Elephas maximus indicus: one gene and its partners. The protein of the gene in region 3 purifies or fractionates together with the protein of the main gene of each other region. This does not show direct contact. Links are inferred from orthologs where the notes say so. Each region holds a gene or a part of one and is shown on either strand. Other genes may lie near its edges. The genes, in order: AP1B1, AP1G2 and AP1S2.

Region 1 (3,746 bases), on a different chromosome or scaffold from region 3:
TGTGTGAAGACAGAGAAAACAGAAAGATCATTTCTGGGCTGTGAGCATTTATCAACCACCTTTCTTAGGCAAAAGACCTGTTTGGAAAAGGAAACATCTTCAAAGAACAGATGCCCCCTCAGATTTAAGAAATATATTACAGTGCAAAACCCATACCCAAGTTGTGCTTGCTCACTGGTAGCATATCAAGGCTTTTGTGCCAGATGTGGGTTTTGAATGGGAAGTGAGCAGTCAAGATGTACAAGATGATGACTACAAAAAGATTAAAGTCCAAGCCCAGAGCCAGCAGGACTGACGGACTGAGCCTGTCCTGAAGTACTTTGAGGAAGTGAAACAAGAAGGGTCCGAGAAGTCCTCTGAACATAAAGGTCTCTGTTTGCAGAAGGAAGTAACGCCCCATAAACCACAGCTGGCAGCCTTCCTTGGGCAAAAGCCCCCTGAGGATCAACAGGCCTGAAGTCAAGACACCCACCACGATAATAACATTTTGCTCTATACTAGGCGCATTGCACAAATGTCCTCACTTAACCCCCACAACCACCTGTGTCGGGGGGCCGGGTGGGGACTCAGTATTATTTTTGAGTTGAGGTAAAAGAGGCCCAGCCTAAGTAAGTTGTCCAGATCACGCTACCATTAAGCTGCCGAACTGAGGTCAGAATCCAGGGCTGACTACTGGAAAGTCGGGGTGTGCTCTTTCTCTTGTACCTTTGAGCCCCTTCAAACCACTCAGGCTTGCTCAAGTCTCACAAACTATGAGGGATCTGATTCTTTGATAACTTGTCAAGCTGCTCTTCATGACAGTTTCTAAACGGCTCAACTCAGGGCAGGGAACCAGATGCTTGGTGCTCTGCTCATGTTCCTACCAACTGTGACAAGTCACTTCATTCAAATCCTCCCTTGGAAGAATGGGATAAGATGACAATATTAAGTTTCTGTGGATTCGGTAATTAGGAGAACAGATCATGGAGGCTAAAAAAAACAAACAAAAAAGGCACTACAGTAATATTTACCTCACAGCTTTCTTCAGAAGCATGTGGAAACCTTAGCAGATTCACTAAGGCTTGTAACACCCACGAAGGGGTAAGGAGGCAGCAGGTCTTTCTCATGCTGCTGTCAGGGAAACTGAGGCAGAATGAGAGGGGGTGGATGTTGCAAAGGAATAAAGGCTCAGACTCACAGAGCCTAGTTCTCCGGCCACCAAACCACCTCACCATCTCCCAGGCAAGAAGAATGGGGCTTCCACATTTTTCAAAGAGGCACAGACCTTCCCCTTGAATACATCCTTCTAGAATCTAGGGCCAAAAGATCCTGTAGGGGTCATGTGGTTCCTCTCTTTATTCCAAAAGGAATGCAGCTCAACCACCTGCAAGAGAGGTTCCTGATATTCTGAAATTAGTTTCCCAGATAAGGTGTTTTATGTCTCACAGTGCCTAAAAGTCAGGAAAGACTGCCACTCTTGCCCTGAAAGGTGTATAGCGACAGTCTGCGGGACTGTTTCATTCTAAAGAAAAATGAATCAAAGGCAGGGGCATAAATGAAGATCAGATGAGAAGCAATAAAGCTACATCTTTACACGTTGTTACCGTTGTAACATAGATTCAAACAGATATAGTGGCAGCTGAGTATTAAGCAGCCCCTACGCCCCAGCCCTGCTCCAGCCTGCCTCTGCACTTCGCAGGCCCCTGAAAGCCTGCATAGGAATTTTGGCTCTGTCTACACTATCTGATCCGTCTACCTGGGTGATTTAACCTCTCTGTACCTCAGTTTCCTCATCCGTAAACAGGGAATAGCAACAGTAGCTATCTCACGAGTGTTGAATGGAGGTTTAAACGTGGTATTTTAGCACAGATCCTGGCACACAGTAGGGGTCGATAACCAATAATGATCATTTTAGCATTGTTATACGTGTCTTCAGTCAACTTGTCACGGAGGCGCCAAGGGACAGACCGAGCTCAGATACTCCCCGGGTGCCGGCGGCAGAGGGTCGTTTCTTTTCCAACCTTGACATGGAGAAAAAGGCCCTTAACGAAGAGGCCTCAGGCTGGCCTTGAGGGTCAGTGTGAACGGGAAAACCAAAGCCCAAAGACGAGTTTACCTTTCAGCCAGGCGTGGGCTTCTCGGGCCTGAGTCTGGGGGCGTCTCCCGGGCGGCGGGGCTGCAGGCCTGGGGCAGCTGGGATGCGGGTCGGAGGCCAAGGGGGCGCGAATGAATGAGCCTGCAGTCCCTCCGCCTCCTCCGAGCCAGGGAGGCCGCTCGCGTACCCACTGTCGCCCTGTCCTCTCAGTGACCTCTGACCCCGCCAACCCCTCAGCTCAGACCCCCGGCTCCCCGTCCCACTTCTTCTCCTGCCGCATCCGGCACTCCGCTTCCTCACCCGCAAGACCGAGCGGCTCCCGGCGCCACGGCTCGGCTCGGTTCGGATCGGCACGGCAGCAAAATGTCCGCGGCCTCCTCCTCCTCCCGCTCTCCCGGCGTGTCCGCACCGCGGGCCGCTCTCAGCCCCGCGGCTGTCACCTGCCGGGCGGAAGTGAGCTGCCCGCGCGCTCACACTTCCGGTGGACGCACGGCCTGGGGGCGGGGCCAAGAGTGCTCCCCGGGCCAGGGGTGGTGCCCGAGGGGCGGGGCAAAGGAGGGGGTGGAGCCGACCGCCGCTAGGGCCTTGCTCAGCTGCCGGCTCCCGTACAGCGCTGGAGAAGTGAGCCAGCTGACTGCGAAGTGGTGCTGGTGTGACGGAGACGGGAAAGATCCTAGAGACTTTGAGGTCTCTCTCCTTCTTCTGGTTCCAGACGGGAAAACTGAGGTCCAGAGAGGTCACTCAGCTTTTGCATTGAAGAATCAAAACTAGAACTGTAAATCTAGTCCAGCATTCTCTGCCTTTCATGGCAGTCCTTAGGGAATCCTCGTTCTAGGGGAAAGATCAGACCCTCCAAGACACTCTCATCCAAGGAGAACTTCATAAAGTCCCATTTCCCCTTTCGTTGGGTCTACCAGGACCTCACGAGGCATGGCATGTAATATAAAAATATTCTACTTGTTTCCTGTCTGCTTCAAAAAAGGATTTGAAAATTGAATGAGGTCTGTAGTCTAGTTAACAGTATTGTACCCAGTTTCCATTTCCTGGGTTTGACTTTGAGGGGTATATAAGATGTAACCATTGGGGGAAGCAAGGTGTAGGGTATAGGGGACTCTACTATTTTTGCAGTTTAAGTTTATAATCATTTCAAAATTAAAAGTTAAAAGAATGAATTTGAGGCTGACTAAAGGTGTAAAATGATGTTACGGATTGAATTGTGTCCCCCCAAAATACGTGTTATAAATCCTAACCCTTATACTTGTGGATATGGAAACCTTGGTGATGTAATGGTTAAAAGCACCGGCTAATAACCAAAAGGTTGGCAGTTCAGATCCACCAGGTGCTCCCTGGAAACCCTATGGAGAAGTTCTACTCTGTCCTATAGGGTCGCAATGAGTCAGAATCGACTCCACGGCAATGGGTTTGGTTTTGGGTATACTCGTGGATATAATCCCATTTGGGAATAGAGTTTTCTTTATTATGTTAATGAGACCATATCAGTGTAGGGTGTCTTAAGCGAATCACCTCTGAGATATTAAACAAACAGATTAGGCACAGAGAAGCATGCAGAGATGGGGGAAGATAGATGCCACACCACATGAAGATTGTCAAGGTACTGAGGAAGAGAAGCTGAAAAGAGACAAGGACCTTCCCCCAGAGCCAACAGAGAAGG
Region 2 (3,746 bases), on a different chromosome or scaffold from region 3:
AAGATGGAGGAGCTCATAGGGTAAGGAGTCATGGGGCTGAGGAGAAAAATCCAACGTTGAGGAGAGCATCGTGAGGGGTCTGGTTGGCTCCCTAGAGCCTCCTTGCCCCTCCCTTTCAGCTCCACAGGTCCCTGGGGGTCCTGGAAAGGTACCAGAAGTCTGCGACACCTGGGGAGTTTGGGATAGGATTTTTTTATGGCTGTCAAACTGGATCTTCTGACATGGTACTCCCCGCACCTCACCTCCCCCCCTCCCCCCACTGGTGCTGGGATGACCAAGGCAATCCTATGCCTGCCACCTTCCTGCCCAAAACAGTGACTGAGCCTAAGTGTTTTCTGGGAGGTAGGCGCTGGCTGTGGTCTTATTTCTAAGCTCCCTTTGTTCGAGGGATACAGCTCATAAAGGTCAGCCTACCTGCAGGAAGGGGTCACTGACTCCAGATATGCTGTGTTCTGCAGAGTATCCCGATGTCACCAGAGTCTGAAGGATCTCTACCAGCTGGGGTACCACCTGGAGGGAGGGCATAGCCGTGTCTAGGCATTCTTCTTACCCTCTCAACCTCCAGCACCATCCCTCCCCACTGTCCCTCTTTTTCTGGCCCAGTGCCTGCTCTTCAGCAGCCCACCTTTCGAAAGTGCCTGAGGGCTGCAGGGCTTCCTTCGCAGAGCTCTGTGATCAGCGTGATGGTGCCCAGCAGGATGCCTGGGGTCAGGGTGGGGGAAGCAAAGGGTAGGGCAGGGGCAAAGGAAAGTCTACGGCATGTGTATAGGTGTGTGTGCTGCCCTTCTCCTATGAGCTGGTATTCCCGTCACAACCTTCACTTCTTCGGTTCACAGCAAGAGCAGAGGCAGGGGATGGGGAGCCCCGTGGCCTTACCATGGTGGCGCTCTTGAAGTAGTTGGGCACAGGGTGGGAGGAAGATGTTGGACAGCTCAGGGACCTTCCGAATCATGTGCACCGCAGTCAGAACAGCCTGCAGAGGTCAGGGAGCTCAGACAGGGCAGGGGTCCATCAAGTACTATGGCACACCTCTACCACGTGGCAAACCAGGGATGGTTTCTTGAGAGGCAAGTGCCTAGAGTCTGCTGCCTCACCTTCTTGCGCATGTAGGGGCTGGGCTGCAGGAGCAGTTTCTCAACCTCTGTGGCTAGGTCCCGGCACATCTCAGCGGAGCCCACGGTGCTCAGAGTGCACAGGGCCAGACCTTGTACTGGCTGACTCCCCTGGCTCAGGTCACTGCAGGGTTGGGAGGAGGGTCAGTGAAGCCTCTGAAAAAACCAATCCTTCCCAGTACCTATACCAGGCAGCCCCTTGGCATTTCCCAGTTCCCCACTCTCCCATCTCCCTGATTCCAAGTGCTTCCTAGAATCACCCCCAGCCCTCTCACTTCTTGATGCTGTTGGTAATGAGCAGGTGGGCATCCTGCCTCTCATCCAGTAGAAGCATGGCCCCCAGGTAGCCCATTCTCTTGTCTGAGAATCTGGGGGAGGCGATCAGTTTCAGGCACTCCATCTATAGAGAAGGGGTGAAACCAGAGGCACTAACATCCCTGTTCCATCTTCCATCTTAACACCAGATTGACTTGTGGGGCACAATAACCCATCACCCTCCTTTCAACAAGAGGGAGAGGCTTAGGAGATTCAGGCATTTGTAGGTAGTTTCAAGGAACTAGGAGTCCTTGGGATGGGAGAGAAGGTGCCCTGAACGAGACTGGCCAGAGAATGAAGGATTCAGGCCAGCTCACCGCCAATGGGGGCTAGGATGGGGAAGGTTAGCGGTGCATGCTGTGAGAGCTCAGAGACTGCAGAATGACAAACTTGAGGTCAGTGAGGGATTCCGAGACCTGCGCCCCACAAATTCAAGAAGGAGGCGTCCTTGCTCCATACCTGTCCAAAGTGGGCAGGGTAGCCCAACATGTGGACGTAGAGCAGTTTGGCCAGCTGGCGGTGCCTGTGCAGGGGGTCCCCATCCCGAAAGGAGGCGCGGATGTGGGCGCACTCCTTCTGGATCACCTCCCGCTCCTGGGCCTGCGTCTTGGCCCCACGAATCTCCTCGATTAGATCCTGAAGCTTCAGCGAAGGCACCACCATCCTGGGGGGCAGAGCTCGGGAATAGAGAGGGCTTTAACACTCCCTAGCCGAATGTGCCTGCCCTTTCTGCCCAGGCTTGCTCTGTGCCAAGAATCTGAGGGTCCGTGTCCCACTGCTACCCTACAACAGAGCACACATTTACCTTTCCCCACACGGGTCTCCAAATTCCGCCCTCATCGCCCCAGGGAACACCTCACTACACATGCGTTCGGCCCCCGTCCGCCTGCCCCTACTGAGCATGCGCTAGAGCCCCGCCCATTTCTCCCCCCCACACACCTGGTTTCCCATCCCTAGCTCAGCCTGTCCTTTTCTTTCCCGGCCCCGCGCATTTTCTTCCGTGGGATTCCTTCTCCGATTGCCATCTCAGGCAGCCTCAGTTTCCCCACCCCAGGAGCCAGCCCTTTACACCAGCCTCACCTGGCTCCCGTCTCAACTCCACTCCTCTCCCCCCCAGGACTTCCTGGTGCAGGGCCGATCGAGAGGCGGTGCTTCATCTGGCCCGTCCCCCTCCGCACCCCCATCACGCGACCTCGCCCCTCCTGGCCCGCCCTGCTTAAACTTCTGGCTTCGCTGTTTAGGGGAAGTAGGTTTTATTCGCAATGGAGAGGCTGGGGTTCCCCTAGGGGGCACCTCGTACATCATCACCACCCGGAGAGCTTCAGCTTGGGGTTGAAGCCATCGCACCCCAAAGGAGATGACAATCCCCCCCCTTTTTTGAACTTTTTTATTAATATATTTTTTTTGTTAATTTTTTTTTTTTCTGCAAGACTTGATGTTTGCGGCACTGTTGTAGTTTAACTTCAATCCCAAATTCCATGAAATAGAAATCAGAAGTAAAGGTTGAGAAGGTAGGAAGGAGGGAGGCAGGCCAAGGAATAAACAGTTTGACTAGAAAAAAAGAGGGTGTATGTGGTGGGCATTCCCAGGCAAGGCCATTCCTTGAGGGAGGGGATTGGCAGGCAGCTTGCCTCTGCCTCATGCAGGGGAGGGGTCCTACAGTCCCCTTTTCCGAGGGCTTCCTAACCCCCAGGGGGGAAAGCTAGTACCAGGGATCAGGCACAACCTCAAACAGGGCTCTCCACCCACCTCTCACCCCACGTTTGTCTCCTACCTCTGCCCTGCCTGGAAGGTGCGTGAGGGGTCAGCTTCTTTTGATCCCCTCCTTCTGTTGTCTTCCCATTTCACCATATTCCCATGTGAAGGGGGAAGGGACATCACCCATTTTGACAGTGACTAAAAGTGTTGCAGCTTACGCTGCTCTGTGAGTTCCTGTCTGGTTCCATCTCCCAGAAGTGCCTCCCCTCACCACAACTGACAGAGTTGGGGAGTGAGGCCCTTGCTCAAGTGCCTCTAACCCTTTGCAGTAGAAACACCTTCTTTAGGTCCCTTAGGAATTTAATCAAAGGCCACAAGTGAGTCCAGACCATCCAAACTTTTAGGGGGAAACAGAAGGGTGGGAGAGGTCAGTGGCGAAGTTGGGGGGGAGGGGACTTGGTTGCACTGGATTTTTTTTGTTCCTTTTACACTTGCTCTTGCCATGTCACCAGAGGGGGTTGAGGAGGGGTGGGCTTTTGAGGAAAGAAAGGGAGATGTTAGAGAGTCATTCTACTTTTCAATTCCCATATCTCCCTCAGGGAAGGACTGAGTTAGGCAAGA
Region 3 (3,746 bases):
AAAGCTTCACCTTAAACCTATTTCATCTAAATCTTTATTAATCATTATTTATAAACATCATCTCTTAAAAGTCTGCAATTTTCACATCATAAATGACCTAAGATTGCTATTTCAACGTTCTGGGGTGGCGGGGGGGGGGGAAGAAATCATACCTTTTGTAAACAATCTTCAGATCTCGCCACTCAAGAAAGCTGCACATCTTAGGTTTACGTGCTAACACGGTTTGCACAAGTTCCCTTGTGATCTTTTTCTTCTCTTTGTCTGATAATGGGACATACCATTTCTGCAGTCGAAGCTTTCCCTGACGACTAAAAAGCAACATAAACTGCATCTGTTAAGGTAAATAAAACCAAGGTTAGATGCAACACTTTGACTCAACAGAGTTAAGATTAAAATTACATGCTTTTTAGAGAAGGGGGGGGTGTTTAACTGATAATGACTAGTAGCTATCAGTATTTCTATGCCAATTAAAACAGCAGGAGATGCTTGCAGAAAGCTCTTCTTACTATATGCAGACCTCGCCACCCCACCCTATTCCACTCAAGTTTGGAAAGGAGCGCATGGAAAAGAAAACCAGTTCAGTTGGAGTGAAATTTCTGAAGAAAGATAACTCTTCTGTCATTTAAAACAGTATTTTTTACTTGTGCTTTTTTTATATGTATACCCACACTGTCTACGCATCACAGAAGAACTGGAGACATCTCCTTCAGGTACATTTGAAAGAAAGAGAAGACCTACTATTTTTCACCCTGAGGCCGGCTAGCTCCGGGCTGAATTCCTTGTAGACAAGGATATTATCACTTAAAATGCACTCTTCAGTTTATGCTAGCATATTTTAAACAAAATTTAAAAATCTAAAATATTAACCAAAAAAAGGATCCCATAAATAGATGTTTTTCTTAATGAGAGCCTGATTTTTAAAGATGTTTTGACCTCACTTTTTAAAAAATCCAACATACGTATGCACACAATAAATAATGAGTGTAAGATTATGAAAGAGAAAATAAACCTTAAAAAAGCCAGAAGTACTAAGAGTTAAACATATTTAGAGACATTACACAATACTTCATTTAAAAACCATCAAAAATAGCACCTACAGATTGAGTGACTGCTGTATTCTAGCGTATTTGATACGCTCCTCTGTGTATAGTTATTTGGAATCTGCAAACCAACAGATGTTGATTCATCTACATGTTTAATTTTTAAAGGACCAGAGGGGCCCCGGTGGCGCAGTGGTTAAGAGTCCGCTGCTAACCAAAAGGTCAGCAGTTCGAATCCATCGGCAGCGCCTTGGAAACCCTATGGGGTAGTTCTGCGCTGTCCTAGAGGGTCGCTATGAGTCAGAACCGACTCGGACCACAACGAGTTTGGCTTTCTGGTTCTTCTTGTAATTCAACTGGTCATCTCAACTGCGCACATCTAAGTATCGTTTCAACAAAGGCAATTTAAAGGTACAATTCAGAGAGATTTTTTTTCTTTTAACTATAAGTTCCTTTAACAGTGTGGCTGCAAATATAATTCAAACCTGGTTTTTAATATTCATCACACCATCTTGAATATGAACATGGAAAGGCGGAATTTACACAACCAATTTAGAATAAAATGAGCCCTACATTTCCAAAGTCGCTAATTAGTGTCGTATTTTTTTTTTGTAATAATCCAAAAAGGCATCAACGAGATATCTGGAAATTCATGACGCCGCAATTTAACTTTTTAAAGTTAAAACTGGCTTAAAGACGCAAAGCAATTTTATCTCAAAACCCTTCACTGGCACAAAATACATGAACCTTATTCAGAGACGTCAGTGTGCCTCCCAAACAAATCCTGCATATAGCGGCATTCGAAGGGGCCGCAAGGGACGCATCGACTGGACCACGCTGAATATAAACCCGTTACTAGAACTCGGAAAAGAATGGACTCTGTATTCATAGAGCTTGGTGTCCAGGAAAGGTAGGGGTCTACTAGCGATCGGAGTCTGGGCTCAAGGCTGTCTGCAGCATTCTTGTATCCGCCCTGCCACTCCACAGGACAAATAAATAATTCACTCTCCCTAAAGTACTCCTTCCCTCTTATTAAAAATCAATGCTTTGATTTTGCCGCAAATCGCAGAGCACAATTCCTCGAGGTTGGTGTTAAAAACAATGGGCTCTGCCGCGGAGCGGGCTCGGGGCCAGCGTTCCTCGGGTCTGGGCGTCGCCGACGCCCCCCCTCGGGGCCACACTCCATCCGCTGGCCGCACCGGGGCGAGGAGACAATGGCATCCGCCGCCGCGCAGGGGGCGCCAGGGGTCCTCGGCCGCCACAGTTCCCCGCTGCGTCCCCTCCCCAAAACGCCCCGCAAAACTTGAAGCGATTCCCGAACCACAAGTGCGACGGGGCTGGTGCGGCGGCCGGGACGGACTCCTGCAGCCCGGGGCGCGGACGCCGAGAGAAGTGAGTTGCGGGGCGCGGCGCCCGGGAAGCGGCCGGGCGGGCGCTGGGTGGGTTCGCCGGGGCGCGCGCGGGGCGGCGGGGGGCGCGCCCGGCCCTCCCCCACCCTCTCCTTCCCCAGCCTTCGTTCGCCCCCCGGGACTTACTGCGGCCGCGGGCCGCGGGCGCGGCGGGGCTCGGCCGGCAGCGGTGGCGGCTAAGGGGAAACCCCTGTCGCCGGGGTGAGGAGCAGCAGCCGTGTTGCTGAGGGGAGGGGACCAGTTTGGAGAAAGGCTGGGTTAGGCGGCGAGGGGAGGGCGAGCCGACAGACCCCGCCCCGGGGGCCGGCCGAGGGAGGAGCCGGGGCTGCGGCGAGCGGAGGGGCGGGCTAGGCGACGCGCGGGAAGCAGCCCGGTCACCGCCCACGACACCGGAGGCAGAGTCGGCGACGGCGCCGCCCAAGGCAGCCGATTGGCCGGGTATCCACCCAGCCGGGTGGCGCGGACCGGAAACTCGGCCACGTGACCCGGAAGCGGCTTCTGCCGGGGCTGGCGCGCCTGCGCCCTGGCGCCCCTGCCCCCGGGGTGCTCGCGGGCTGCTTCCCGGGCTTCGTCTATGGTGGGTCGACGGGGTTCCGTGGCGTGCTTTGCAGGTACCACCATGCCGATCGTGGAAGCTTCCTACCTGGAAGAGCCACGTTCGTGCCCGGATCACTTTCCATGCCCCTAAGAGGCTGGCATGAGGGAAGTGTGACGGCCAGGGATGATAGGGGAGTGGGCCTGCAATTCCTGGGAAATCAAGTCAGCTCTTTCGTGGAGCTCGTGCAAGCGGTCAGAGGTTCTTTTGCAAGTATTCCGCCTCATAACTCTTCGGAACCCGGCCCTTGCCTCCCATGGCGCGGCTACTGCCATAGTCTAGACACTTTTCGCCCCAGGCTTTGCAAGAGTCTTTCGTGCGTTTGCCTCGCCCATCCTCAGTGCTGCGTATCAGATGGGTTACTGTCCGTTCTCTGCTGAAAAACGCAGACAGCCTTTCATCTTCGAGATAGAGTCTTGTTCCCGTCACTTGGGGCCACCCCTTACCCGTCTGGGTTCAGTTTAGCTTTGCCGAAGATCTGCTCAGCTTGGCATGCCCTTTCTCCTAAACGTCCCCTCTCCTGTGAAGTCTGACCCTAAAACCCTGTAAGAACGAGTTCTTTGTCCCATGTACCCACTGGCCTCCATTTAGCACATCTTGAATTGTATTCCATTTTGCATCCCCAGCCTATTCTACCGCTTGGCATATATAAAAAAAAGTCCCAACTAGTAAATATGTAAGTTGACATTCCCGAAGCCAGCT

Evidence for each region.
Region 1: the proteins of AP1S2 (region 3) and AP1B1 purify together in Homo sapiens (affinity purification with mass spectrometry; 5 studies listed by BioGRID and IntAct, counting the BioPlex papers as one, with this or other methods). This does not show direct contact. The link is inferred for Elephas maximus indicus from reciprocal best matches to the Homo sapiens genes AP1S2 and AP1B1.
Region 2: the proteins of AP1S2 (region 3) and AP1G2 purify together in Homo sapiens (affinity purification with mass spectrometry; 3 studies listed by BioGRID and IntAct, counting the BioPlex papers as one, with this or other methods). This does not show direct contact. The link is inferred for Elephas maximus indicus from reciprocal best matches to the Homo sapiens genes AP1S2 and AP1G2.

What each region holds. Positions count from the first base shown.
Region 1 is NC_064840.1:27,190,849-27,194,594, reverse strand, and holds the start of AP1B1 (AP-1 complex subunit beta-1), read right to left. Parts: upstream 2,527-3,746; 5' UTR 2,375-2,526; intron 2,173-2,374; exon of another isoform or gene 2,096-2,172; intron 1-2,095. UniProt on the Homo sapiens protein: Subunit of clathrin-associated adaptor protein complex 1 that plays a role in protein sorting in the late-Golgi/trans-Golgi network (TGN) and/or endosomes.
Region 2 is NC_064828.1:34,907,362-34,911,107, forward strand, and holds the start of AP1G2 (AP-1 complex subunit gamma-like 2), read right to left. Parts: upstream 2,286-3,746; 5' UTR 2,268-2,285; coding exon 2,233-2,267; intron 2,092-2,232; coding exon 1,887-2,091; intron 1,513-1,886; coding exon 1,388-1,512; intron 1,237-1,387; coding exon 1,095-1,236; intron 974-1,094; coding exon 877-973; intron 703-876; coding exon 626-702; intron 511-625; coding exon 415-510; intron 1-414.
Region 3 is NC_064846.1:163,732,435-163,736,180, reverse strand, and holds the start of AP1S2 (AP-1 complex subunit sigma-2), read right to left. Parts: upstream 2,713-3,746; 5' UTR 2,576-2,712; intron 332-2,575; coding exon 153-331; intron 1-152. UniProt on the Homo sapiens protein: Subunit of clathrin-associated adaptor protein complex 1 that plays a role in protein sorting in the late-Golgi/trans-Golgi network (TGN) and/or endosomes.